Bombyx mori: one gene and its partners. The protein of the gene in region 3 binds, or shares a complex with, the protein of the main gene of each other region. Links are inferred from orthologs where the notes say so. Each region holds a gene or a part of one and is shown on either strand. Other genes may lie near its edges.

Evidence for each region.
Region 1: mediator of RNA polymerase II transcription subunit 1 (region 3) and mediator of RNA polymerase II transcription subunit 24 share a complex: the UniProt entries of both Drosophila melanogaster proteins name them as parts of the mediator complex. The link is inferred for Bombyx mori from reciprocal best matches to the Drosophila melanogaster genes MED1 and MED24.
Region 2: mediator of RNA polymerase II transcription subunit 1 (region 3) and mediator of RNA polymerase II transcription subunit 23 share a complex: the UniProt entries of both Drosophila melanogaster proteins name them as parts of the mediator complex. The link is inferred for Bombyx mori from reciprocal best matches to the Drosophila melanogaster genes MED1 and MED23.
Region 4: mediator of RNA polymerase II transcription subunit 1 (region 3) and mediator of RNA polymerase II transcription subunit 20 share a complex: the UniProt entries of both Drosophila melanogaster proteins name them as parts of the mediator complex. The link is inferred for Bombyx mori from reciprocal best matches to the Drosophila melanogaster genes MED1 and MED20.
Region 5: mediator of RNA polymerase II transcription subunit 1 (region 3) and mediator of RNA polymerase II transcription subunit 4 share a complex: the UniProt entries of both Drosophila melanogaster proteins name them as parts of the mediator complex. The link is inferred for Bombyx mori from reciprocal best matches to the Drosophila melanogaster genes MED1 and MED4.
Region 6: mediator of RNA polymerase II transcription subunit 1 (region 3) and mediator of RNA polymerase II transcription subunit 8 share a complex: the UniProt entries of both Drosophila melanogaster proteins name them as parts of the mediator complex. The link is inferred for Bombyx mori from reciprocal best matches to the Drosophila melanogaster genes MED1 and MED8.
Region 7: mediator of RNA polymerase II transcription subunit 1 (region 3) and mediator of RNA polymerase II transcription subunit 16 share a complex: the UniProt entries of both Drosophila melanogaster proteins name them as parts of the mediator complex. The link is inferred for Bombyx mori from reciprocal best matches to the Drosophila melanogaster genes MED1 and MED16.

Annotation. Positions count from the first base shown.
Region 1 is NC_085113.1:5,802,057-5,806,309, reverse strand, and holds the start of mediator of RNA polymerase II transcription subunit 24, read left to right. Parts: upstream 1-1,453; 5' UTR 1,454-2,179; coding exon 2,180-4,253. UniProt on the Drosophila melanogaster protein: Component of the Mediator complex, a coactivator involved in the regulated transcription of nearly all RNA polymerase II-dependent genes.
Region 2 is NC_085107.1:8,828,202-8,831,701, forward strand, and holds part of mediator of RNA polymerase II transcription subunit 23, read right to left. Parts: coding exon 3,398-3,500; intron 3,163-3,397; coding exon 2,939-3,162; intron 1-2,938. UniProt on the Drosophila melanogaster protein: Component of the Mediator complex, a coactivator involved in the regulated transcription of nearly all RNA polymerase II-dependent genes.
Region 3 is NC_085114.1:6,968,256-6,971,755, forward strand, and holds part of mediator of RNA polymerase II transcription subunit 1, read left to right. Parts: intron 1-76; coding exon 77-311; intron 312-1,131; coding exon 1,132-1,307; intron 1,308-3,500. UniProt on the Drosophila melanogaster protein: Component of the Mediator complex, a coactivator involved in the regulated transcription of nearly all RNA polymerase II-dependent genes.
Region 4 is NC_085134.1:1,809,452-1,812,440, forward strand, and holds the end of mediator of RNA polymerase II transcription subunit 20, read right to left. Parts: intron 2,683-2,989; coding exon 2,540-2,682; intron 1,751-2,539; coding exon 1,491-1,750; intron 761-1,490; coding exon 551-760; 3' UTR 501-550; downstream 1-500. UniProt on the Drosophila melanogaster protein: Component of the Mediator complex, a coactivator involved in the regulated transcription of nearly all RNA polymerase II-dependent genes.
Region 5 is NC_085112.1:8,189,583-8,193,734, forward strand, and holds mediator of RNA polymerase II transcription subunit 4, read right to left. Parts: upstream 2,801-4,152; 5' UTR 2,545-2,800; coding exon 2,477-2,544; intron 2,404-2,476; coding exon 2,223-2,403; intron 2,084-2,222; coding exon 1,932-2,083; intron 1,485-1,931; coding exon 1,306-1,484; intron 758-1,305; coding exon 582-757; 3' UTR 414-581; downstream 1-413. UniProt on the Drosophila melanogaster protein: Component of the Mediator complex, a coactivator involved in the regulated transcription of nearly all RNA polymerase II-dependent genes.
Region 6 is NC_085118.1:10,646,257-10,650,550, forward strand, and holds the start of mediator of RNA polymerase II transcription subunit 8, read right to left. Parts: upstream 2,801-4,294; 5' UTR 2,100-2,800; coding exon 1,926-2,099; intron 1,622-1,925; coding exon 1,376-1,621; intron 789-1,375; coding exon 692-788; intron 1-691. Other genes in the region: uncharacterized protein LOC134199859, read left to right, coding at 3,113-4,294. UniProt on the Drosophila melanogaster protein: Component of the Mediator complex, a coactivator involved in the regulated transcription of nearly all RNA polymerase II-dependent genes.
Region 7 is NC_085108.1:235,489-239,510, reverse strand, and holds the start of mediator of RNA polymerase II transcription subunit 16, read right to left. Parts: upstream 2,801-4,022; 5' UTR 2,645-2,800; coding exon 2,583-2,644; intron 2,145-2,582; coding exon 1,967-2,144; intron 1,229-1,966; coding exon 1,096-1,228; intron 567-1,095; coding exon 437-566; intron 1-436. Other genes in the region: neogenin, read left to right, coding at 3,239-3,323. UniProt on the Drosophila melanogaster protein: Component of the Mediator complex, a coactivator involved in the regulated transcription of nearly all RNA polymerase II-dependent genes.

The DNA of each region.
Region 1 (4,253 bases), on a different chromosome or scaffold from region 3:
ATCTAGTTTTATACGTTTCAGGGCGATCTGTTTTAGAATTAAGTGACTTTTTAAGTCGAGCACTGTCCAAACTTAAATTTTGGCTTGTCTCCAACGCTCTTAATCTTTCTGTTTCAAAAAGTTGCATTGTGTTATTTTCTAGAATGCGGCTTCCTCCTCCTGTTTCCGTATATTTTGATAATGAACTTATTCCATCTGAAAATGAAATAAAATTTTTAGGAGTTATTCTAGACGCCAAATTATCAGGTTTATCACATTGTTATTACGTTATAGCTAGATGCGAACGAGTTTTGAATATTATGAGATGTTTAACTGGAGTCTGGTGGGGTGGACATCCATATAATCTAAAGCTCCTATACAACGCTCTCATACGAAGTATTTTAGATTATGGTACTTACTTTCTTGAACCATGTAATGCAGTCGGACTAAATAAGCTTGATGGCATACAATCAAAAGCTCTCCGTTTAATAACCGGTGCAATGAAATCTAGTCCTATCAATGCTTTACAAGTTGAGTGTGTTGACCCTCCTCTGCGACTCCGTCGTCAATATCTTTGTGACAAGTTTCTGTTCCGTGCTCTACAATTTACCAAGCATCCCCTTCATACCAAATTATCTACTTTATCACATTTAGTTTCATCTTCCCCCTACTGGAGGCACAAGTCTCTACCTTGTTTAGTCGTGAGTTTTCGTAAATTTTCCTCTTTGCTTGCCCCCACTCACATGTCTCATCGTCTCTCTATTTTTTCTGCTGAATATGAAGCATTAACTCTTGTTCCTAAAATTCATTTTACCTTAGATATATCTCGATCTATTTTTTCTGCCAATATCGATTTTAATATCATCTTAGATAGAGAGTGGTCAGATCGACATTACATTTATAGCGATGCATCTAAAAATTCTTCCTCTGGTCTCGTTGGTGTTGGAGTTTATCATCAACAATCAAAAATTGTCCAAAAAATTAAACTTCCACCAGAAAGCTCTGTTTTTACTGGGGAATGCTACGGATTATTTAAAGCTATAGAATATGTTAATTTGATGAAATTACATAAATCTGTTATTTTTTCTGATTCCAAAAGTGCGCTTCAGGCACTTCAGAAATTTCCTTTCAAATCTTGCGCCAATTACCCTGTTATTGTAGATTGTAGAAAATTACTGTGGGAATGTAATTTAAAAGGTTTCGATGTAATTTTTGCCTGGATTCCTAGTCACGTGGGTATTTCTGGCAATGAATTTGCTGATAAACTTGCCAATGATGCTGTGGATTGTGGAGATATTTATCCATACAAAATCTTCATAAATGATCTTTTGTGTCTTCCGAATTCAGACCTGCGCGAATCTTGGGGACAAACATGGGCTATTTCTAGTCAATATAAAGGAAAGAATTATGCCCAAATACAATCTGTCATTCCTACCAAGCCTTGGTTTTACAATTTTAGATTTAATAAGATCACGACTACTATCATAATCCGGATGAGACTGGGTCATGCTTGCACTCCATCTCATTTGACTAGATTGGGTATAGTCAATAACAATATGTGTGATTGCGGCGCTGATGTTGGCAATTTAAATCATATTTTTTTCGCGTGCTCCTTAAATGACTGTTCCTCATTTATTGATTTATTAACATCCCTTGGTATTCCACTCCCGACTTCTATTAATACTTTGCTGTGTACTATGAACTATGATATTTATTTATGTATTTCAAATTTTATCCTGAAACATAATATCAAATTGTAATTATGTATATAAATACCTACCTGATCCATTCTTTTTAATTATCCGTTTTTTCCTTTTTCTCCTGTTTCCCTACCTTTACCCTTGTATGTGGCTAAATGCACAAACAGTGCAAGCTAAAAAAGAAAAAAAAAAAAAAAAAAAAAAAAAAAAAAAAAAAATGTCTATTTTGTGATTGGGCTATTATTATTCAAGTTTGATCATATAAAGTAATGTTTATTCTCAAATGCTCGCTATAAATAAAATATCTTTAAAAATGTGATAAACTTAATATGCCACACAAATATAACGAATTAATTTCAATATTCAACAGTGAACAAGAAAATGTAATTTGTAACCTCAAAGACTAGTAGTAAAGTGTTGTTTAAACGACTAATATCACGTCAAAAATGTGTGAAATGTAAGAAAGAAACATTATTGTGCTCTAATAAAATACAATAAAAATGGATGCTTCCAAAATAACGAGTAAAACTAGTTCACTAAAAGCTTTAATTTTAAAAGCTTGGAAAGAACGATGGACTGATATTCAATGGGGCATCAACATCAAAACTATACTGCCGAGGGGCGTCAGTGGTGACCTATATAATCTGGCTGATTGTATTCTTCAACAAGCCATGGTAGGCTGTGGGGCCAATCAGTTAGTGATATCGTATTTGAAACATTCACTTGCGTGTCATTTGGTCTCTTTCGCGGCTGTGTTACAACGAATCGCAAAATTTGATGCTTTTCACAAACCTCATTGTATAATAAGCTTGTTGGAGTTCCTTGAAACCTTTTTGGAGAGTATTACATGCAGAGGCAAGTTAGAAGAAGAAGTTTTAGCTTATGCTGTATCATCTATAATATTGTGGCTTTTACAAGTATTTCACTATTCATTAACCAAGTATCCAGCTTCAAGTTCTGTTCAAAGTCAGGAATTATTGGAGAAATCATCAGTTTTACTGAACTCTATTGTTAATACAGATTTTCTGATTGCAATGTTCTATTTGGCCAAGCAGAATGATCCTGATGAGTATAACGAAGTGACAAAGAAATGTCAAGAGATAACAGCATTTATGATGATGAACACTCAATTCAAACCTCCGATGACCATACATGTCACTTTACACAAAATCTGCAATATGGAATTGGATAAAATAGCACCCTTAAACAATAAACCAGAAGCTGTAACCTATTGTCTGCAGGCTTTAATAGCTATAAATGTGTTCTCAAACCCTAGTGCAGGCATGCAACAGATCTCCAGCCAACTACTAATGGTTCAGAAAATAAAAGGCTATTCATTGTCACGTCTCTACTGTGAACTTATTAGAGCTTGTTTCATTTCACTAAATGATTCTAGTAATGATGCATCGAAGCAATCATTGTGGGCTGCATTCACTTTTCTAAAAGTTCCACAAGTGATAAATCACCTCCATAATATGTGTGGGACAACAAATAAGGAAAGTGAATATTCTACTGAGGTTGTGGAAGCTTTTGAAATGTTATTACAATCAGCTCCACTCCTGGATATTGTTGATACGAAGAATTCTTGTAATAGTGTTATTTCACTTATAGAGCCATTAGTTAAACTTAATGTTCTGTCAGATAATACTTTGACATATTTTAAACAAAAACGTGAGACTATTGATCATCCTTTACAAAAATTTGAGCCAATAGGATTACAAGGCTCAGTCCCATTATTTATAACTCGTGTTGAACCTACATTGGCAGAGATTTTAAAAGCATTGAGTGGTGAATTTCACAAAACTCAAGAGTCGCTCTATATCATGCTATGCCAAATAGTTGGTCGAACTACATTGGATACCATCCTGGCCGTTGCAACTGTGGAAGGAAAACTAAAAATGTTTGTGTCAAGACTCATTAAGTTTAATGAATTTGCATTGTTTGCTGCAAGTGAAAAAGGTGCACCACAATCAAAAGTATATATATTTGACATTTCATTTTTGCTTTTATGTTGGATAGTCCAAGATTATGGAGCTGATGTTGTTCTAGAAGAAAATGGTGATTCATTTTTTGAGAAATGGGTAAGGGATTGTATGGTACATAAAGGAAATTATAAATCTTCAGATCAGATACTTCAGAAATGTGATCATGTTGTTGATGTTATCATTCACCATTTGAGTGCTCCTGACTTTGATTTCAAAAATACTAATGTCAAACCTCATGATCTTTGTATGAATATCACTGGTGCAGTCAAAGAGGTTCTTTTTGCTTGGGAACAAGGTCTACTTTCGGCAACAGATGTTAAAAGAATGTTGGATTCTATAAGACAAAAAATGGCTTCCTTGGCAGTGTGTGCATCAGTATGGCTTTGTTCATACATCAATGTTGTCCATCAAGATGCATCAATAAAACCCATGAATATGGTTCAGCAATTTTTAACATCACCTACTGAATTAGAATTAACTCAAATAGACAATTTTCAAGAAAGAGCAATTTTGATGTGTCAGATAATAAGAAAATTACTGTTTAAAATTCATCCTACCTCAATGCCAAAATCAAAAGAGCAGCAGTTGC
Region 2 (3,500 bases), on a different chromosome or scaffold from region 3:
ACAAATCCGCGCCTATTAATAAGTCAATCGGCTGACTATCATAAAACGTTGGATCTGCAAGTACAATGTTATCCGGTATGGTAAACAAATTAACGTTATATGTCTTCATAGGTAAGTTTGATGTGATATGAGGTAGAATTAAACACTGAATGCGTGCAGCATAACTACCAGTGCGTGATTTGATCTCAATATCACAGGATTGCGAACACTGTGTTATTATATTACCTACGCCGTGGATTTTTTGAGTGGACTGTAATATTGGTGGATTTAATTTGTCACAAAGTGTTTGTGTGATGAATGAACGTTCGCTGCCACTATCGAGTAGAGCGCGCGCTTGATGGTAAACACCCGACTGGCTACGTATTTCTACAATAGCTGTGGACAGCAAAACTGGTTGCGCTGGATGCATGTTATCAATTGTGTCAGTAGTTTGCGCCTGAAAAGAGTGTGCGTTCGAGTTATCTTTCGTATTAGACGGGACGGCTGATTGTTCACAAGATGGCAACGTAACTTTAGGGAAACTATGATCATAATTTTTAATTACATCGCAAATTAATGAATTATGTTTTTTATCACATTTTCGACACGGCCCGAACACACAGGTGTCAACAGTATGTCCTGGACGCATGCAATTAGGGCACAACTGTTTAGTTTGGATAAATTTTAATCTATTTTGTACACTAAGGTCCAAAAACTTTTGACATGAATATAGCGGATGTAAATCATTACACATTATACAGGGTCTGTAATTACGTGCATTCTTTCCTTGTGATTTATTATTATTATTTGGTTTATTTGAAACTATATTGCAATGAAATTTAGATGTTAACTGGTTACTGCATTGCTTTTTATTATTGTCTGTCGCGCTATATACGCCTGCTTTACTGTGTGATACTATAAGTGTTTCCAAAATATCCGCCCTATTTCTAAGAAACTGAAGTAAGTCATTTAGTTGAACTACAGTTTTGGTGTTATTGGTTGATGTAATTAAACTACACTTATGCTGTTCCCATTCCCGTTCGGTAATGGAATCTAATTTTGTGACAATAATGTAAATGATTAACGTATCCCAATACTCTGTAGGTTCTCCTAAAAGCTTTAAAGCGCGAAGGTTTTTTAAAATATTATCAATTAATCTGCGTAATTGCACTGGTGATTCTTTAGTCAATGATTGCATGGTAAACATGGATTTGACATGGTTATGTACTAATAGTTTCGTATTATCAAATCGATTTAACAGTAGTTCCCAAGCAACTTTATAATTATTAGCAGAGAATTCTATGGAATCTATGACCGATTTAGCGTTACCGGACAAAGACGATTTTAAATAATGAAATTTTTGAATTTCTGTAATTGTTTCACTATTATGTATCAATGACAAAAATGTATCGCGGAACTCTAACCAGTGCTCATATAAGCCGTCAAAGGTGGGAACAGATATAGTGGGTAATTTAATGCTTTTGGAACTTGTAATCGGTGGTTCAGACATCATACCTTTTGACTTTTCATCAGCGGTGGTCAGACATTCAGCAAGGGCAAGAATATTATAATATTTTTGCTCGAAATCTTCACGCGATTCTAATTGTTTTTCTATGTCGATTTCTACACTAATGTCTTCTATTTGAGTCTGAACGAGGTTAAAATCATTCATTAAACTTTGCGATCCTGCCATCCGCAGTTTGAGCTCGGTACGTTGATGAAGAGTTAATTCTACACCTTCGAATGAATTCACGTATTTTCCAAAGTTAGTCAAACGACATTTAATAGATGCGCGTTTTCTTTTAAGATCTTTCATCATTAATTCTACCTTATGATCTGATGTAGTCATTGTGGAAACAAGTAAATGGTGGTGTACTTACAGTTTTTAAATAATAAAACAAAACAGCTGCTCAATATTAGTGAAATACGTACCCAAAATGAAAAGCAAAAAAGGTTTGAAGAAAGCACAGTACTACTATATACGCGAAGGGGAAAAAATTTAGCAAATTTTGGTTAGCACGCCTTGCCAAAGCACCGTAATCTTGCGAAGCTGGTGAGATTTTCCGAATTTTCCTTTTCAATGGCCGATGCGTCTCTCAAGTAAGCGTCTGGTTCAACTTAATTGATGATCCGGTGCTGAAGGTCCAATAGAAATGTTGCGTCTATTTCTTAGATGTATCTTGAGGTGGCCAAGAAAATGAATAAATGCGTTTACTTCTTCAAATACTCATTATATTGTTTTTAATTAATTTACAAATATAGAATTGAAATGCGCGTCCATCTTTTTTCTTCGTGTTGTAATAATTTTAAATTTTGGCAATTGGTGCCACTGTTGCGTTTCCTGTTTTGTGATTGGTTCGTGCGATATGACGTCATCGTTGGCCAATCACAGCCATCAATGTATCACGTGACGTTGATTCGTTAACATTAACAATTTGTAACTTTTCGGGATCTATTCTTATTTCAGTGAAAAATTTTAACACATTGTTGATAACAACACGTACAAATATTATTTTGAATAAATTCTGCCGGTTTGATACAAAACAAAGGAGTAGCCATTGTGTCACTAAAGAAATTCAGAGAACGAATACATAAAAGCACATTTATCTTCGACATAATGTACTATAATTTGCAGGTAAGTACAAATGACTCATAACATAACAATGTACCACCACTCTTCGTATACCACCCCGCCGCCGTGTACCTACCTGCCTTCGATAACTCATTTGTTTTTATCGATAATGACGTTGCGCCCGCGCAACATGCTCACCGCCCTAGCTGGGCTATGTTTTATGACTCAAACTGCACGGACAAAATAATTCTACTATAGTGGGTAGTTATAATGTTGTTTTGTTTACTAGTGTAACGTTGTAACGTAACCACAATAATTCGCTGCAATTCTCGTTGTTGTAGCACATTAGATGTAACACAGAATCCAAAGCTGCGATCGATAACTTACCATGAAACTTATACAGATATCCCAAATGTTCCAATAGCTGTTCTAGATATTTAGCAACTTGATGTATCTCCAGATGTCTATGTACGACTATATCAAAAACAGGAATCAATCTTAAGCAAACGTTACTCAAATAAACGGGTATGGGTGCGCCATATGCACCACTCGCTTCTTCTGGTGTGAACTTCTCGGGATATTTCCTTTGAAATGCTAAATGCTTTTCGTACCTGAAACGTATTTTAAACAATAAATAAATAAAATATTCTAAGATCTATTTATATATACGTATGTAAAATTTGTAATAAAATTGGTTTTTCTCTATTTTCATATTACTTTTATACTAAACACAGGCATCGTTTCTAAACGAAAGTACAAATAAGGTACCTAATGGAGTAATATATTATTTACGAGTTATTGTATTGACATAGAAACTTAGTACAGTATACATATATACATATTTACCAATTATTTTGTTTCCAGTGTTCTGGTGAGTTTTCCTTAACGAAATCTTGAACCCTGTTTCTTAACTCAAAACCATGAAGTAGCAACAGTTGAATGATGTAGA
Region 3 (3,500 bases):
GTTATGAGGGTGGTGGCAATCACCTCTTTTTCTCTCTGTATACCAAAAATAATATTGTTTATGTTTTATTTGTCAGCTGTCGAACTCGAAAAGGTGTTGATGTTCGAAGTGAGCGCCCTCTCGTGGCAGCACATTTCTATATCGTTGGAACATCCGCTAGAAGAATGTATGGCCACCGTCGAACTTGAACTGTCGGATCCGGCCTCGCCCCGCGCGTCTGTGTACACGCTGAACAGTCCGGCTCGAGACCACATCGACGACTACATCACCAGGGTGCTGCAAAAGAGTCATTCTATACCAATAACGTTAAGGTGAGATATCATTATAAAGCAAATTAAAAAAAAAACAATTATATTTTGCTTTTTTCATTGGTTAGATTCTAACTCTACACACATAAAATAAGAAATTCTAGAATATTGTATTCTTCATAGAACACGATGCTAAAGATCAAAAGTCAGCTTCGACATAGTTAAAGTTGCTTGACGGGCGCAACGTGATGTATCGTAATTTTTTTTTATCAAATGTCCAATAATTTGTATGAAAACGTATTGGCTAATGTTTTTTTTTTTTTTTAACACTGAAACTCCTCGATAACTGTTAAAGAAAAATATACAGGAAATCGCTTGACGGACAAAGGAATTCTGAATTCGTCGTGGCCTAACAGATAAGACGTCCGGTGCATTCGTGTTGAGCGATGCACCGGTGTTCGAATCTCAGGTGGGTACCAATTTTTCTAATACGTACTCAACAAATGTTCACGATTGATTTCCACGGTGAAGGAATAACATCGTGTAATAAAAATGAAACCCGCAAAATTATAATTTGCGTAATTACTGGTGGTAGGACCTCTTGTGAGTCCGCGCGGGTGGGTACCACCACCCTGCCTATTTCTGCCGTGAAGCAGTAATGCGTTTCTGTTTGAAGGGTGGGGCAGCCGCTGTAACTATAGTTGAGACCTTAGAACTTATATCTCAAGGTGAGTGGCGCATTTACGTTGTGGATGTCTATGGGCTCCAGTAACCACTTAACACCAGGTGGGCTGTGAGTTCGTCCACCCATCTAAGCAATAAAAAAAAAAGGAAAAAATGTCACATGGCTTTTTTTTTTTAAATACTATCTCGCTCGTTTCAGGTCTCTCGTCAAGATATGGGAGCGCGAGGCCGCAGCGAAGCAGATGAACGGCGGCTACTCTGCCCTGGACTCGAATTTTAGTTGCGGCGTCGGCGGACTCGACCCCGGCGGCGAGCAGCTCAAGCACGAGCCCGCGCACCCGCACCGCGCGCTCTACCCGCACCCGCACCACGCCGGTAACCATGCCTCCCCTACTCTTATACATAACATTACAGATCTCTCTCTCGTATATACCTAGTCTTGCCATAAATACTATTATTTTAAAAATAAAAAAAATTCTATTGCAATTTTTTTTTTTTGCTCTTGTAGGCAGACGAGCATACGGCCCACCTGATGGTGAGTGGTTACCGTCGCCCATGGACTTCAGCAATGCCAGGGGCAGAGCCAAGCCGCTGCCTACCGCTTAATACTCTCCACAAGCCTCGTTTGAAGAAGGACATGTCATAGCGCTCGGGAAACACCGTGGAGGGGAGCTCATTCCATAGCCGGATGGTACGTGGCAAAAAAGATCTCTGGAAACGCACTGTGGATGACCGCAGTGGCTCCAGGTAGTATGGATGAACTCTACTCCGGTGGCGGGCGGTGCGATGGTAAAAACGAGATGCCGGTATCATCTCGAACAATTCCTCAGAGCACTCCCCATGGAACATACGGTACAGAATACAGAGGGAACCGAAGTCCCTCCGCAGACCCAGAGGCTCCAAGTAATAACATTTATTACTTTTACAGTGTGTTAGTTTAATACATAAATATAAAACAATTTAAAGTATAAAAAGCTTATTCGAAGTGGTCTCCATTGGCTGCAATACAGTTCTTTAAACGTTGAGGCCAGTTATCAATAGAAGCACGCACTCTTTCCGCGGGAAACATTTTCACTGCCAATCGTACGGATTGTTTTAGGGACTCCAAATTATCATGGCGTTTAGAGCAAGCCGTACTCTCTAAAACTGACCATAAATCATAATCCAGCGGATTAAGATCAGGACTAGACGACGACCAGTCTTCAGCTCTGATGAAGTCCGAAACGTTCGTTTCCAACCAAAACTGCGTTGACCGAGCTTTATGACCTGGCGCCGAGTCTTGCTGGAAGGACCATTCTTGATTATTGAACATGGTGTTGTTAAGGGGCTTCACTACCTTCTCAAGAATGGTATCTTGATACACTTGTACCGATGTTTTGATACCTTTTTCACAAAAGTATGGCTCAGTCACTCCTTCATAGCTAATACCCCACCAAACCATCACTGAAGTCGGATAGTGCCCACGTTGCACTCTGTCGACTAATTGGGAAGCTTCCTTAGAGATTTGAGCAGAAATACAGTAATTTTGTTTGTTAAAATGTTGCTCAATTGTAAAAAATTTCTATGACCGCCCTTTGCTTACCGCTTCAGTTGTTGTTTCGATTTTACCACCCTATTCTCTTTTAAATTATCAGTTAAGAAATGACCAGTACGTCTGTTATAGGCTGCATGCAAGTACTAAGTCATCTTTTAAAATACTCGACATGGTTCTAGGTGCTATCTTCATCTTCCGAGATAAAATCTTTTGCTTTCGGACAGGATTTCTTCGAATTCTTTCCCTTACTGCTTTGACCACCTTTTTCGTACGAACACTACGTGGACGGCCAGATCTTTTTCTGTCACAAACAGAGGAGGTCTCATTGCACCTATTAATAGCCCGGCACACAAACATTTTACTAATACCAAGCGTATGGAGAGTTTTAAACATTGCATTTGGCTCCATACCTACTTTGTGTAATGCAATCACAGCGATTCGGTTCTCTTTATCACCCCACTCCATTTTAATATCGCAAAATATTGTACTATGTATTGGCGCCAAAATGAGAAAACTCAATGAGCAATCATATAAAAATGACAGATTCCAAATTCAAATGTAATATTTTGTTTATTTTTAATTGTAACAGTATTTATGGCCAGACCAAGTATATTTCAATCGATAGGTACACCGCCTGAAATTCGTTTCCCAAGATACTTGTCCACCTGATGTTACTATAAAGAATTCTCTCTCTTTCTTTCTCCTCTGTCTCTTTTTTTTTATTGCCCATGTAGGCAGACGACCATACGGCCCACCTAATGGTGAGTGGTTACCGTCGCCCATGGACTTCAGCAATGCCAGGGGCAGAGCCAAGCCGCTGCCTGTTGCTCTCTCTCTCACACACACTCACTCTCTCTCTCTCTCTCACACACTCACTCACTCTCTCTCTCTCTCTCTCTCTCACACACTCACTCACTCTCTCTCTCACACACACACTCACTCTCTCTCTCTCACACACACACACACACACACTCTCTCTTTCTCTTTCTAACATTTTCTATATTTAATTGCACCACAATTTAACTTAATACTTC
Region 4 (2,989 bases), on a different chromosome or scaffold from region 3:
CGACGTCGCCCAAAACACGTCATTTCGGATCCTCCCGATCCACTAACGGTGCTTTTAGGTACCCCAAGCACCGGTCATCGTTCTCGTCGAACCCTTCGCTTGCGACGAAGGGCTTGGCAAGTAAATGAATCCACAGACAAAGCCCACTGAGTTTCTCCCCAGATCTTCTCAGTGGGTCGCGTTTCCGATCCGGTGGTAGATTCTGCGAAGCATGGCTCTTGCTAAGGTTCATGTTGGCAACGACGCCAGGTTTGAGCCCCGTGATCTCACCTACTAGTTGGGTGAATCTAGAATAACCCCACGAGATCACTACATAGAATAGTAACAATATTTGTCTGATTAATGTCATTAGAAAGATTTAAAGTTCGAACCTCTCAAGTTTAACATTATTAACAATCTACCTGCCAGAGACAACTTTCTAAAAAAATCTCTTGACTCTATGTCCCTACTTAAAACATAACTACCAGACATTTGTCATAGAACAACTAAAAACGAATGAGTAAAATGTACATATTTATTTAATAAAAAAACACAAAACAGTCAACTTAGTTCATGTCGTTCTCATCCCTGTAGTCTTTCTGTAAGCACTGAAATGTTCTAAATACTGATATATTGTGTCTATTGGAGTGTATATTTCGTTCATTCTGCTTATTAGATGCTGAGGAGGTTGGACCGGAACAGTTGGCCCTAACAATCCTTGAAGGAACTCTCGAAGCAGACCCCAGACCGCATTAGCCATTACGCATGGTCTGTATTCTACCTAGAAATTATAGAACATATTCTAATGATACTGTGAATAATATCAATATAGTCTGAGATATTGAGGCAATGACAGAGAGTTAGGGAAAAGAGAATTGATAGATTGAATTGATTGATAGATTGACTCCTACACATCCAGTCTAGTCTATGCAACAATATGAAAGTCTAGCCGTTGCCCCTTGGCCAAAAATGTGTTTTGAGTATTAATTAGCACCAGATAGACGGTGAGCTCGAACATCTAATACTAAGAAAACTCAAAAAAAAGAGATGCCTAATGTATGCCTGACAATTAAATTTCCATAGAAAAAATAGCTTCATATTGTTATAATTATCAAGCCTATTCAATCCCCAAAACTAGGTATGACCTTTGGGCATATTTCTGCCACAAGGCACCACCACGCCACCAAGGTGTTCCACTTTAAATAATAGGTAACAGTTATCTAATATAATTGGCACTTCAACCTCATGTATTAAGGTAGCCAATGTCAAGTATGATATAATTTTCATGGTCCCTAATATTCACTACGCAAATTTTGAAAACTTTGACAACAACAGCAATCTATAAAAAACAAAGATTTTTTTAACATAATATTACGGAAGTATTCTTTTTAGGAACGTATTTCTCCATCTATCTTTATGTACTATTATAGATATAGTGACGGACGTTCTGGATGCCTCCAAGTGTTCACATATATTAACATAGCTATTCACTAATTATTCAATTCACTCACCTCAATCAAAATCCCTTTAAAATTCTGATTCATAGTAACTGATCCGAGCTTCACACAGAAATCTCCGAGCTCAAACCTAGGTCCTTTGCTCTCGATTTTGGTTTGTTTCTTAGAAGTATAATGCTGAGACAACTTCATCATTAACAAGTCAAATAGTCCGTCAGCTATGACGTGAATATTTTTCGTGCCACTTTCAAGGATTGAGAAGACAGACGCAGGCTGCTCAGAGTTGTGTAATATATGTACTGTTTTTGTTGTACCTGGAATATTTGAGTTACGTTTTTGCTGTCAGAAATTTTAAAAGCAGCATTAGACAAAACTTTAGGTAAGTGTGTTTCGTATTGTTAATTTCCACAAGCGTATGCAAGTAATGGTAACCGTTAAGTGGTCTGGCTGAATTTGATGAAAAGATAATAAATATTGGTATCAGCATCTCATCAACTTTTCAATTCAACTATCAAGTACACGATTAGCTTTGGTTTTTATAAATTCCTTGCATTTTATTTTTTATTGCTTAGATGGGAGCTCTCATCCCACCTGATGTTAAGTGGATGGATGGTGGTTACTGGAGCTCATAGATATCTACAACATAAATGCCCCACCCACCTTGAGATATAAGTTCTAAGGTCTCAGTATAGTTACAACGGCTGCCCCACCCTTTAAACCAAAAAGCATTACTGCTTCACAGCAGAAATAGGTGTGATGGTGGTAACCGTGAGGACTCACAAGACGTCCTACCGCCAGCAATTACACAAATTATAACTTTGCGGGTTCGATTTTTATTACACGATGTTATTCCTTCACTGTGGAAGTCAATCGTGAATATTTGTTAAGTACGTATTTCATTCGAAAATTGGTACCCACCTTCGGGCCACATAGGCCACGAGGACTTTAAGTACAATAAACTAGCTGACACCTTTGTAATGTCTGAAATATTTTCAAATATGTCATATCCATGTATTGGCGATGGGCTGTGTGATTTCTCTATAAATCGCTAAGTGGAATGTGTCTTTCTTTTTACTTTTAGCTTGGATTCAGTAAACACGTACCCATGAGTGGATGTGATAAATAACTCTCGCAATCAACCAGGAACTGTCCTTGTTGTGTCGCCCCTAATGCTAAGATACGCTTTGTAAGTAACTCCACTACATATGTTCCGGTCTTGTTCTCTGGCACTGGATATTGCTGTAAGCTGTCAAGTTAATAATTGAAACAGTTTATTAAATATAATCCACTCTTCACGATTTTTTTATGGTAGATTTTGTAGTTGTATCAAAAACATAATAAATAGATTTGTTTCGTTATTATTTTTAATGATACTCTTCCTTCAGTCTGGCCAAACTGTGTCAAAAATAAGCTACACTAACATGTATTTTTATTCGGGGATAGTTTTCATACACCGGATAAGGTTAAAGAAGAATTTGAGATAACGTATGAAGTCAAGAAGTTTACTTTCTACCTTTACATAGAGTTATTACTTTTATTAGTATTAGTATTAT
Region 5 (4,152 bases), on a different chromosome or scaffold from region 3:
CTAGGGGCAATAGTATCCGGACTAAGTTGTCTTAAAGCTCCAAACACTTATACAACTCCTATGAGTAGTATTAGTTGTAATATATTCCGGTGCTATCGGGCCTCGTGATCGTTGATATATTTTACCTACCCATTCGTTGGTAGCCTAAGGGGCTATTCCAGGAACGCGCGGACGTGTATGAGTTCACTGGCTCCACCTGAGAGAGTTTGCCAACACTGGCCCTGGCAAGAGCAATGTTTCGTTAAAACCTACAGGATCAGAATCGCAACCCACTGAGAAGAACTGACGAGAAACTGTTTGGGTTATGTCAACAGGCTAGTTCGCACTTCCAACTCTTAATCGCAGAGTTCGCGTGCATAGATATCGAAAAATAAATTTGGAGGTTAAATTTTTGTTCAAATATAACAAAACGATTATGTGGAATAAATTTTTTTATTATGTCATTTCTATGAGGATATTTAAATAACATTTGAATTAATTCTACAAATATTTTTTTCATAATAAACACAAGCATCAGTCTTTTTAACTTGTTGAGTTGCACTACACTTTTAATCAAAATGAAGTCCACGGTTTTTCTGTATTCATTGTGAATCACTACTTGAACTTGAACTGGAGTCTGTGGACATAACTTCAACATCTTCTTGGTTGGGAGCATCCTTCCCTCGGCCATCAATAGCTACAGAGTTACCGCCTCCAACAGACATGTGTAGCTCGCCTGATGGATGCCAAGTGAATTGGCTTGAAGCTGAAGCTGGTACTGAAATAATATAACACAGTAAACCTGATTAACAAGCAAATGGTTTTACATGTTTTTTTTACCTAATGCAATTAACAAAAGGGTAAAATGTTTCTGTAAAATTCTGATGATAAGAATATTCTTAAATAATTTCCATGGGTTATGGGTTTTGAAGGAAGCCTCTGTTGACAATATTAATAAAAAGAGGTGGCAATAACATAGGAGATTTTTTTTATTCTTTACAAATCCTATAGAAATTTGATCATTAATTCAACTTTCCTGAAAAATATTATTCTTGTATATTTGAGTTTAATACAGTGGTCCAAAACATGATATATCTGCCAAAGCACTTGCTGAGTAGTTTAGGTGTTTGGTGTTCCCTATCACCCACTTCTCTCATAGCTATTAATAACTATGATAATACATGCTTATTGTAGATGAATCAAATTAACTATAACGATAAAGTACCAATACTAGAATTGTATAAATATGTACTGCACAAAGAGTTCTATACATATGCAACTTGTTCTAAGAATGATTCATTAATATAATGAGTAATGCATTTATACCTCCACCAGTTGTTATACGATGAAGTTCATTCAGTGTAGAAGGCGTGTGACCATTCAATGGCAGATCACAGAGGCGACCGAGCATTCCTAATCTCATTTCTAAATCAGTTGGATAAGGCCGACGAGGATCACCAGGTTGCCACGACAAAGGTGCGCTGACAGCATTAGATGCACTTATTCTGTAAAATATCAGTAAGTCAAAAAAAGTTTTTTTAAGTACTATTTAGTTCTCACATCAAAAATAGTGTACTGTCTAATATTTAAAAATTCTTTTTAATGTAATTTAATTAAAGTGTAACTCTATAGTTATGAAAGAAACTGTTTTCTGTAGATAGTTATTTTCATAACATTGTTGGCTATTCAGACACAATACCTAATATCCATTCAGACTTTTTGCATTAATAAACTTAATCAACTGTTAATATACTAAACATCTCATTGATTTATTTGTTAGTCAATGTGCCTACTATCATTGTCTCACTGTTGTCATTGGTCAGGTTTGAAATCTCTGTTGAGATCATAAATATTTAATATTCAATATTTAGGAGTACTCATCATGTGTTTTAAGGACCTGACTCAGAAAAAATATTTAATTTCAATGTAGAAATCTTTAATTGTTTACTAACCTGTGTGCAAATTTGATCAACTCCTCAGAGGGTACAGGTCTCTTTCTAGACTTCACTATTGATGCAAGTTTCTGTCGAGCTTGATACAGTGATGTAGCCAGAATTTGTTCTGCATCTTTCAATTGTCTTTGAAGGTGATATATATCTTGATCCTTAGTAACACAACAAAAACATTTCAATTACATAATTCGCTTGTGGCTTAAATTGTTGTGAACTAGCAGTGGATGAGTCAGTCCACTCCAAAATTTTATCCATTTTTTACTTAAAATAAATCTCTTTTGTAGTATTTACCTTACTATCTACTTCAGCTTTGAGTTCATTCATTTTCTGTTGGATCTTTGCTTGTTCGTCAGCTAGGTCTAATGTTTTTTTCAATTCTCCATGTTTTGATAGAAGTAGGTCCGTCAACTGAGCATGATCTGCAGCGGACACTTTCTGTGGTTTTGGTGCTATGGAAACTTCTATTATTTCCCTGAAAATTTAAAGAATTAGAACATGAAGTTGATCGGTAATGTTTTCCACAGTTCAATCGTGTTTTAACTCACTTAGCAATAAGTTCGATATCATCTATTAGTGCCAATAAGCGATCTTTAGTACTTAAATGTGACGCCATAGCTCTATATAGCTTAACAGCTTTTTTTAATATAAACGATATGTATTATTTCCTTATATCATATGAACTGGACAAACGACCCCCCAACGCTGCGACTCTTGGGATTTCTTGTATCAAAAACGCTACTATGTACGTGGTAACTACATTCAATGTTTACAGTAAAAATAATAACATTGTTTGATGTTTCCAATACAGCAGACGACAAACGTGAAAGTCATAGACTATGTTCCACAGCAAGCACAGACTAATAATTAGTAGAGCCTTGAAATATTTTTCTCTATGATATAGAGAAACTTATTCTCGTACTTTTACAGTTTTTCTAGTTTTAAAGTGAGTTTCAGTATAATTTATATCTACAAACTTTGTTTTATAAGGCCGTAGCCTATTTACGTTATAAGAAATAAAATAAAATTTACTACTGGTAACGAGATGAGATGATTTACTTTTTCTTATGAAGATGGGTGAATGACCTCAAGGCCTATTAGTAGTTACCGGAGCTTAAAGACATCACAAAGTGATTGCTGCCCCCAACTTTAACTTCACTTTTCTATTTTACACTATAAAGTGTGTTCCACCCTTTAAATCAGAATGCATGATTACTTGGCGGCAGAAATACACAGTACGCTGGTACCTACCCATGTAGAGTATTGTAGAGTCTAGTTATTATGATATGATCTCTCAGTAAAATCGTGTTTATTTCCTGAGACGTTAATTGAAAGACTCCGAAAAACCACATGTAGCGATTTCGTTTCATTTTTCTACCCGTTGTGCACTTTCATGAATTTGAACATCGTTTGGTCATCATTCATCGTTCTCGTTGAACCCATCGCTTGCGACGAAGGCTCGGCTAGTAAAATAACCCACAAATAAAGCCCACTGAATTTCTCGCCGGATCTTTTCAGTGGGTCGCGTTTCCGATCCCGTGGTAGATTCTGCAAAGTATTGCTCTTGCTAGGGTTAGTGTTAGCAACGTCGTCAGGTTAGATCCCCGTGAGCTCACCTACTTAATAAGTTACACTGACATAGCTCTCAAGCTTAGATAAAAAAAAACCATTTCACAGGTTCAGAATATTTGTCAGAAGAAATACAATATTGGTGTAATAAAAATATTCTCAAAATAAAGGACATCTGATTCCATCAAAATTATTGAAACACTGCACAAAAAAAATTATTCTATTAATTATTAGACTTGCGAATACTGAAAAAGGATTGAAAGATTGTGATATTGATTGTTATGGTTTATTTATAATTCGTAATTATTGGCGGTATAGCGTAGGTTGTAGATACGTATCTACGACCAAGCTTCCTATTATTGCCACCTACCAGTTATTCGTTTCGGTATAAAGGGCAAGATAATAGACAAAACAGTTGAGACTTCGAATCCTTAATTCAATCAAAATGGATGGTTACTTACACGCTGTGATGCTCATATTATATCTTCCGATAATCAGTCAATACGGAGTTAAAGAATGGTGTTGTTAGGATGTCTTGTGAGTCCGCACGGGTAGGTACCACCATCCTGCCTATTGCTACCGTGAAGCAGTAATGCGCTTCGGTTTGAAGGGTGTGGCTGACGTTATACTGTTAAAACTGAGACCTTCAAACTCA
Region 6 (4,294 bases), on a different chromosome or scaffold from region 3:
AAAAAAACTAATATGAAATGAAAAATACATATAAACATACATAAAACAATAACTTAAATACACTTTTTTAAAGTGACAGGAAATGTTTCTTCATTTGACTCTTAGAAACTTCTAGAGAGGAACTAGCACAAATAGGTTGAGGGAGAGAATTCCATAATCGCACTGCTTGTATTGTGAAATTGCATTATCATCATACTTGTTTAAGTGGTGGGCAAAATCTTGGGCATCTCTGGTGGGCATCTTTCATCTTTGTCAAAGTAAAGTCATACCTACCTTATATGAACTAATAACTTAGGATATGTGTACAATGGTCAGAATAATCCCACCTGTCTTTTCTGTAGATATTCACCAATGACTGGGGTCTAGAACTGTGAGTAGCTGAGTGTATCCTGAGTCACTGACGTGTATAAGTATTTTTGTTATGAAGAAAACAGGCATGCCAGTTTGAATTATAAGATGCCTGCCTGCCATACAACTGAGACTTCGGGCATGTGTTTTGGGTCAGGTGAAATAAGATAAGCATGTGTGTCTAAATTTTATTGAAGACAAATTGTTTTTCACTACAGTGACCCGCATCTTTTTTCAACCTCTAGAAGTTAAAAATGGACTACATAATATGAATGAAATGTTTATTAAAATCTGTCAACTGTTTAGGTAATTATGATAATTTTCTATTGTAACTTTTACTAACCTGTAGATCTCATTGACTCTCCTTCCCAGTCTTCGCGGCCTTTGGATATAATTTCCCAAACGTGACTGACAACTTTAGTGAATTGAGCAATGTGTTTCTGGAATATAAAACTATTATAATCCATACATCATCCATCTATATAATTGTAGGTAACAACTACACAACATTACATGAGAAAGTGAGCTTGTTATAATTGCATGTCTTAAGTACTCAACTTGATTATCATGCTAATTTTGCAGACAAATCTTGATTATATAAAAGAACTTATTATACATAGTTTAATAGAATTCAATGATGATATGATTGCAATGATACTGAATGATGACCATGACCACCCTGACAAGTGATACAACAAAAAAAAGAAAGAATTGATACATACTTCAACCAAATATCTCAAAGCAAGAGGTTGATTTAACTCTGTGATATCTATGGGTCCCAGCCACTATATCTCAAGTGAGCTGTGGGTTTATTCACTCAACAGTGCATTACATGTTTTAACCCCAAATATATCTATTTTTTTACCGTTTACAATGAAAACTAATTTAGATTGCGAAGTCTACAAAGAATGTCATAAAAAATTAGCCCAAATAGTTATAATGGATATTTTTCCTTGTGGTACATTAAACCTTATGCTTCTTTAAATGTTTCTGATATTTAAAATTAAATGTTAATTATTGTCTATACCTGTGCTGTATCATAGCTTAAAGTACTAGCTTTATGATTAAATTGCTGGAGACGCTGTTCAGCCTGGGGTTCAGGTTTGGTACGAAGTAAATCTGGAACTAAATCATGAGTGCAAGCTGGAACTCTGCCTTCTGTCAAATGAGCCAGTGTTTCATCACGTTCGCAACTTAATTGAAGTGGTAAAACAATTCTAGACCGCAATGAAGCTGCTTGTTCGGCTTGGAGAATTTTACTGAGGCCAGTCAGCTGAAAATAAAGAGTTAATAAAATTTAACTAAATAACACATGATCTTTAAAGTGAAAAGCTTATGTACAAATGCACTTAAATCTGAAAACAAGTCTCAAAATGGGATAATACCTAATAAATATCAGTGACCACGCTAACCAGGTTACATCAAGTGAGTTTTGAACTCGTCAGTTTTTGTTTCACTGTTTTTTCAATAATAAATTAATTATCTTTCCTACTTCAAGTTGAAATCCATCTCTGTAGACTTGTTGACTATTACACACACTATTTATGCTATGAATTTCAATATACAATTGGACTTACGTGACCAGATAAAATCGCGTAATTATCTAGAAAAGTTGGCCAATTTATTGTCTCGTATTCCGTTTCTAGTTTATTTATCAATGCTTGTATTGCAGTTTTTAAATCATTTACTCTATTTAAAATCGCAACTATTGTAGCTTCTAGTTGCTTTTCTTCTCGCTGCTGCATATTCATTGTTGTAAATGGTAGGTACACAATTGTAACTTTTTAATTCTCTTTGTTAGATTTTAATAAGGTTTAGGTACCGTACCTTACCTAGCTATTAAATAACCGTAAGGGACTAAGGGTACATAAGTAATATATCTCAAAATGGTACCATACGGTACCTACCGTACCGTAAAATGGGGCGATTAGGGACAAATTCCAACTTTATGAGCAATTTTAAGGTAGTTGTTGATGTATATAATGCTAAATCAGGATCAAAATGATTGAGTCTTGGGGGCATCTTTGTTGTCTAATTTAAAATTATGCAACTAGCATTCCAGTTTAAGCAAAAAATGCAAAAATAGGTGTAATCCCTATTTACCCGAAAATTGCGGTTAATTGGGACGAAACGAGAAATTTGCTAGGGTTGGCACTACTTTTATTTTTATATATAGTTTTAATTTATTTATTTATTTAGTTGCACCAACAAAGTGATCATCAATAAAAAAAATTGAAAAACTGACAAAAGTACATGGCAGACATCACCTCAATTATAGGTGCAATCGACAGTGCTGATATTTCTATCTGGATTAAGAGATTAGGTGTGTCGGTTATTCCATGGATTAATCAGATGAATACCCCCACTCTGAACAAATATTAAATATGTAGCAAACCGACCGGTACGTCACTCTCGCGGCCGTATGCCCGCTCGCTATACATAGTTAGTATCTATGTCAATCTTGTAACAGTGTATAATCTATGTTCCGGGCGCTTCCGTTTTGAGTGTGAATAGCGTGCGCCCGCGTCTAAATGTAATTATTGTTTAAAAATTGAAAATTGTTTGTTATAAAGGAAGATTAAAATTCGAAATTCGATATTGGTGACTAACCCATAGTTTTAAATACCCCTGAGATCTACCCCTCACTATATCTGGCTGCCCAACGTTTCCTAATTTTTTTCTTGCTTGGACTAACAAAATGGCGCGCACGCTTTTGTGAAAAATTTGCTAACTATTGTATGCTGTTGGTGCTTAATTGTAAAGAATGCCTTTAACTAGAAGTCAAGATCGCCAGCAACGTCGCGAAGACGACGTTATTCCTGCTGCAGATGCAAATGCCAACGAAAATCACGAGGAGCATGATAGCCCCCATGATCGCCCCCACGCCGAATCACGTAGCAACAATTCTACGTTCAACTTGGATGATGTTTCAGCGTTGATGGCCTCGCTGCAACGTTCGCAGGCCGAAACATTTAAGAACATTATGTCGTACGTGATGGAACAAAGATCGTCGACTCCGGCACCTCCGCCGATGCCCCCAGTGAACGTAGATGGTACCTTGGCGCGTTGCAGAGCTTCTTTCAGCGGTGCACCTGGTGAATCTGTTGAGGCCTTTATAGATGCAATTGAAAGTTATACAGAATGCGTTCAAGTATCTGACGCTAACATCATACGAGGCCTAGCCATGCTTTTGTCTGCTGACGCAGCTACGTGGTGGCTAGGATTAAAGCATCACATCTCCACTTGGAACGAAGCCAAAGAAAATTTAATATATGCATATGGCACCCGCCTTCCACCACATAGAATATATTTGGAAATATTTGTTTCCCCGCAGGATAAAGAAAACACAGACAAGTTTGTTGCTCGTATTCGTGCGCTTATGGCAAAGCTACCGCGGGATGATATTGCTGAAAAAGTACAACTTGATATGATATACGGGTTGCTTCATAATAGAATACGCACAAGATTGCGCCGTGAAGAAATCACATCTTTCAATTCATTATTAAACCATGCTCGGAATATAGAAGATTCGATAGAGGAGACTCAATCGAGACCAGTGTCGTCCACTAGTGGTGTGCGTTCGATCCGTGCCCAGCCGGCCCAGGCTGCGAGTCGGCCTGAACCGTGCGCCGCTCGTGCGAGTGCCCCGGCGCCGCGCGCGCGCTTTCCAAACTCCGCCGCGGCCGTCGTGCCCGCCACCGCTGTGCCTGTCGCTGTCGCCCAGCCTACCGTTGCCACGCCTGCCGCTGCTGTGCCAGGTTCTGCAGAGCAATTCGTGACCACGAAGAAACAGCGTCCAGTGTGCTCCTACTGCAAACGGTTTGGACATGCACGGGAACAGTGCCGTAAGTTAAACAACCGAGGTGAGCAAAGTCAATCTAACTTTTCCGAGGGTGTGCAAAATGACAATAATGCGTTTTATAGTGTTCAGTGTAATGTTAATAAT
Region 7 (4,022 bases), on a different chromosome or scaffold from region 3:
GGACAGCATATGCCTATATGTGAAGGTTGGCTCACCATAATGTTTTTTATGCTAACCAAATTTGTTCTAAAATAAACCATTATTTGTGAACTATTTCACGCGGACGATGTCGCGGTCAAAAGCTAGTCTTGGATAATTGGATAAATCTAATAAGAAGCAAAACAGAAAAAATGGGCTAAATTAGAAACTGATTGGTTAAAAGAACTACCGTTCTAAAGGTGGGTAGACAACATAAAGGCCATTGCAGGTTCTACGTGGAAGAAGAAATGTCACGATCACGACAAATTACATTAATAGTATGTACCTAAATATGCATTAAGATTGTTAATAAAGGTTTCTTTATCTTTATAATTAGATTAATTGTCAGAAACAATAAGTAGCTCTGCAGTCTGTTTTGCACCTACTGAGAGATTGCACAAGCTCCCGATACACTCACCCGAATCCCTTGAGAGTAGGAGAGAACCGAAGCATTTGTATTTTTTCAGGGATAACCGCATCTGATTTTTTATCCACGGCCACCACACGACGTCCATTGTGGAAAAAGGCCCCTTGGATTATGTGTTCTCCTGAAATATTTTGTCATTTATTGACAAAAATGAAAAATAAAAAACAAGAAAACATCTTTATTGATATGGCCTTGAAAAGAATCTTTATTACATGTTTATAACTTATTAAGATCTATTCAAAGAAATATTTTTAAAAGCCACCACTCATCATGAGACATGGGACCAGAGTCATGTTGCAGTGACAGCTATCCCAAACATCAATTGGAGCCACATTATGTCTCATGATAGAACAGACAGGGCGATGGTACCAGAATATGAAAATGTTGACTATCTAAGCGTTTAAATAAGGGCTGAATTAAGTTTGCACTTAGAGAGCCATCTGATCTTATATGTTCTTAGGTACCACAAACAACCCCTATGCATAAATCAATTAAAAAAGTTGACTCAAAATTACATTAAAGATTTTAAAATAGCAATGCATTTAGTGTACGACAACATCAGAGAAGTGGCAGTAGTCGTAATGCTTTAAGATAAACAATTTTACTAAAATAACTAGTTTTGTACTTAGGTAGTTAAATTTTTATCTTACCAGGGAAGTTAGCACTGTAAAGACATGTCCAATCATTGAGGAGGAAGTCTTTCTGTCCATAGACAGACACATCACCCACTGTAGTGGCTACTAACAACTGTTTGCCTTCCAGGTCCCACTCTAGAGCTGACACCTGGAATTTGTATCCATTATTTTATTAGAACATAGTTGCATAAAGAAACAAAGTTGTAAGAGTATTTCCATACAAACTTTTAGATAGCTTAATGTATTTTTCCGAACCTATAGACCGTATAAAATAGTATGGTCATCATTTGAGTATAAAATTTGACAGCAAACTTCAAAATTTTGGCAGCACAGGGTTTGAGAATCACTGCTATAAACTAGTTTTTAGATCATTTTGTTAAATAATTGAAATTGTTGATGTGGATATCAATTATAAGTAAGAAGCATATATCATCACAAATACTAAGTTATGAAGAAGTTACAAATATGAGTAAATCATATCTGTAAATCATGAGTAAATCATATCATAACCACAGTGAAATCAATTACTGTAGATCCTAAAATATTGATAATATGAACAGATTGACATTTGATAGCATTAATGTAGATGTGTGTAAGGTTTAAAGAGTCTCACTGAATATTTCTCCAACATAATGATGGTAGGCAATGACGATCATCTGACACTGTTTATCATCTCCCGTAATTGTTTAACTCTTGGTGAGTGAGCTGGTCTGTTCACTTATGCGAACAAAACCTGGCCACATAGGGTTCTAGTCTACTATTTGATATGGAAACTCATTAATAGTGTTAATACATAAAGAGCTCATTTGGTTGTAAAATTATACCACTTTTGAATAACTGATCTGTATCACATAGTTTCATTATACTTTTACTATTTCACACTTACAGGATAAGCTGTACTTGTAACTTTGTGACTGTTCCATGGGGTATCTAAGTCACATACATACACATGACCTCCCCATGTTGCTCCGTCCACATCACTAAGCTCTGTCGGTGATGAGAATGCTATGATATTTGCACATGATATTGTACATATTGGTCGGACTACTTCAGAGTCTTTTACACTAGAAATAGACAACATTATTAAGCATTGAGTTTATGTAACACCAAGAAACAGAAATAATGTTTTACAAACAGAACACAGAACGCATGGGACTATTTTAAAATACTTGAATTTTATGTAGATGTGATAAGTTCTAAAGTCAGCTCTTTTTATAATATACATCCATGAGCTGAGCAGTCTCCTATTACTTTTCTCCTTAATTTGTTATTTTTATCCTTTTAGTGTTTTCTTATGATGGAAGGCATCATGAACAACGGTAACTTAAAAAATAAGTTGATGTTACTGCCGTTAAAGATATCTTAATTTGTAAACTCTTGTTGCGAGGAGATGGTCACGACCCTCAGTATTGAGGAAACCGAAGCAAGAAGAAGAAGAATTTGTAAACTTTAGTAAATTTGGATAGAAATATAAACTTTTGATATAAATTTAAACTATTTACTTTTCGAAGTGCGGAGGTTCACATTTAAGTGGCTTGCGTCTCATAGAGTATATTAGCTCCATTACAAACTACCGCGGACTGCGGTTAGCGATTTGTGAACGAAATGTTTAATGTTTATTAAAATACGCATGTAAAGCAGGTTGGAAATTTGAAGTTAATAAGATTGCAAAAACTTTATTTGTTGATACCTATCACGTCAGTTTTTAAAATGTGTCAAAATGACAATAACGTTTTATTATTGCTTGGATCTGAATTTATATATTTATTTGTGGAAGTACCAATTGTATGTAACGAATGATAAAAGGATTATACGTATTTTTGGTTGGCACGGATTATATTTATTTTTTAAATGTTTTGTCTCCTAGCGATTTCGAATTTCATATTGTATGTCAGAATTTCCATTGCCAATTCCATTTCTCGTTTGACAGAAATCAACGAAGTGTACTAACTTCAGGGCGCTCCGTTTCGTCCCGGGCAATGCCCTTTCAATATCGAATTGTTTCCGAACGTAAGTGGACATGAAAATGGCGGATCGCGTAGTATCGCTCCGAATTCGTTATCTGTGAACTTTAACATAAATATTTTTGATTTTATGTGAAAATGTGATAGTTATGAATTAAAACCTCTAGTGCAGTGGTCTTCTATTGGTTTGAACCATGTTTCGGACAGGGATCGTAGCTTACGGCGTGAGAAACTGGATATTCTTGTGGCTGTCGCTACATTTGTTTACATACGTTCAAGGTAGGCTCCTTTCATGTAAAATACGGCATTTATTATCGATCCATTGTCTTCAAGTAACTGTGAGCTTGCCTGCACATGCCAAGTTAAAATATTCGAGAACTTTGGCATAAGTCATTTAAAATAAGGAAATTATTTACATTTGGATTTAGTTTCTGAAGCGTTTTATTTACTATCTTGCAAATCTACCTAATTTAAGTTTAGTAAGTATTTATGTCTCTCTGACGCTTTTAGAGCGGTTGTTAATAAAATTTATGAGGATGTGTACGGCTTGGGCGCGGTATATATTTTATTACTTTTGGACTAAAGTTATGAACTTTTAATAGAAAATATGTCTTCTTCAATAATACTTTCTGTTTTACGGTCAAAAGTGAAGTTTTGTTATTTTTAATTATTCTGTTTTTTTCTCTGGATAATTTTATTCGATCCTTTGGATTTTTCTGATTTAACTTTATAATTTTGTACTAGTATTACTACATACATAATTATACTTATCCAACGTCTCGTATATTTTATTAAATTGTAACTTTTACCTGCCTATTTGCTGGTAGTATAAGGGGCTATTCCAACAACACACGGACGGGATACCTATTGTAACACACACTCGACAATTAATGGCTGAAAAAACAAAAAGTATTAACTTTCAATATGTGATCGCGATATATGGGATCTTATGAGATAAAATTATAAATATGTACATAT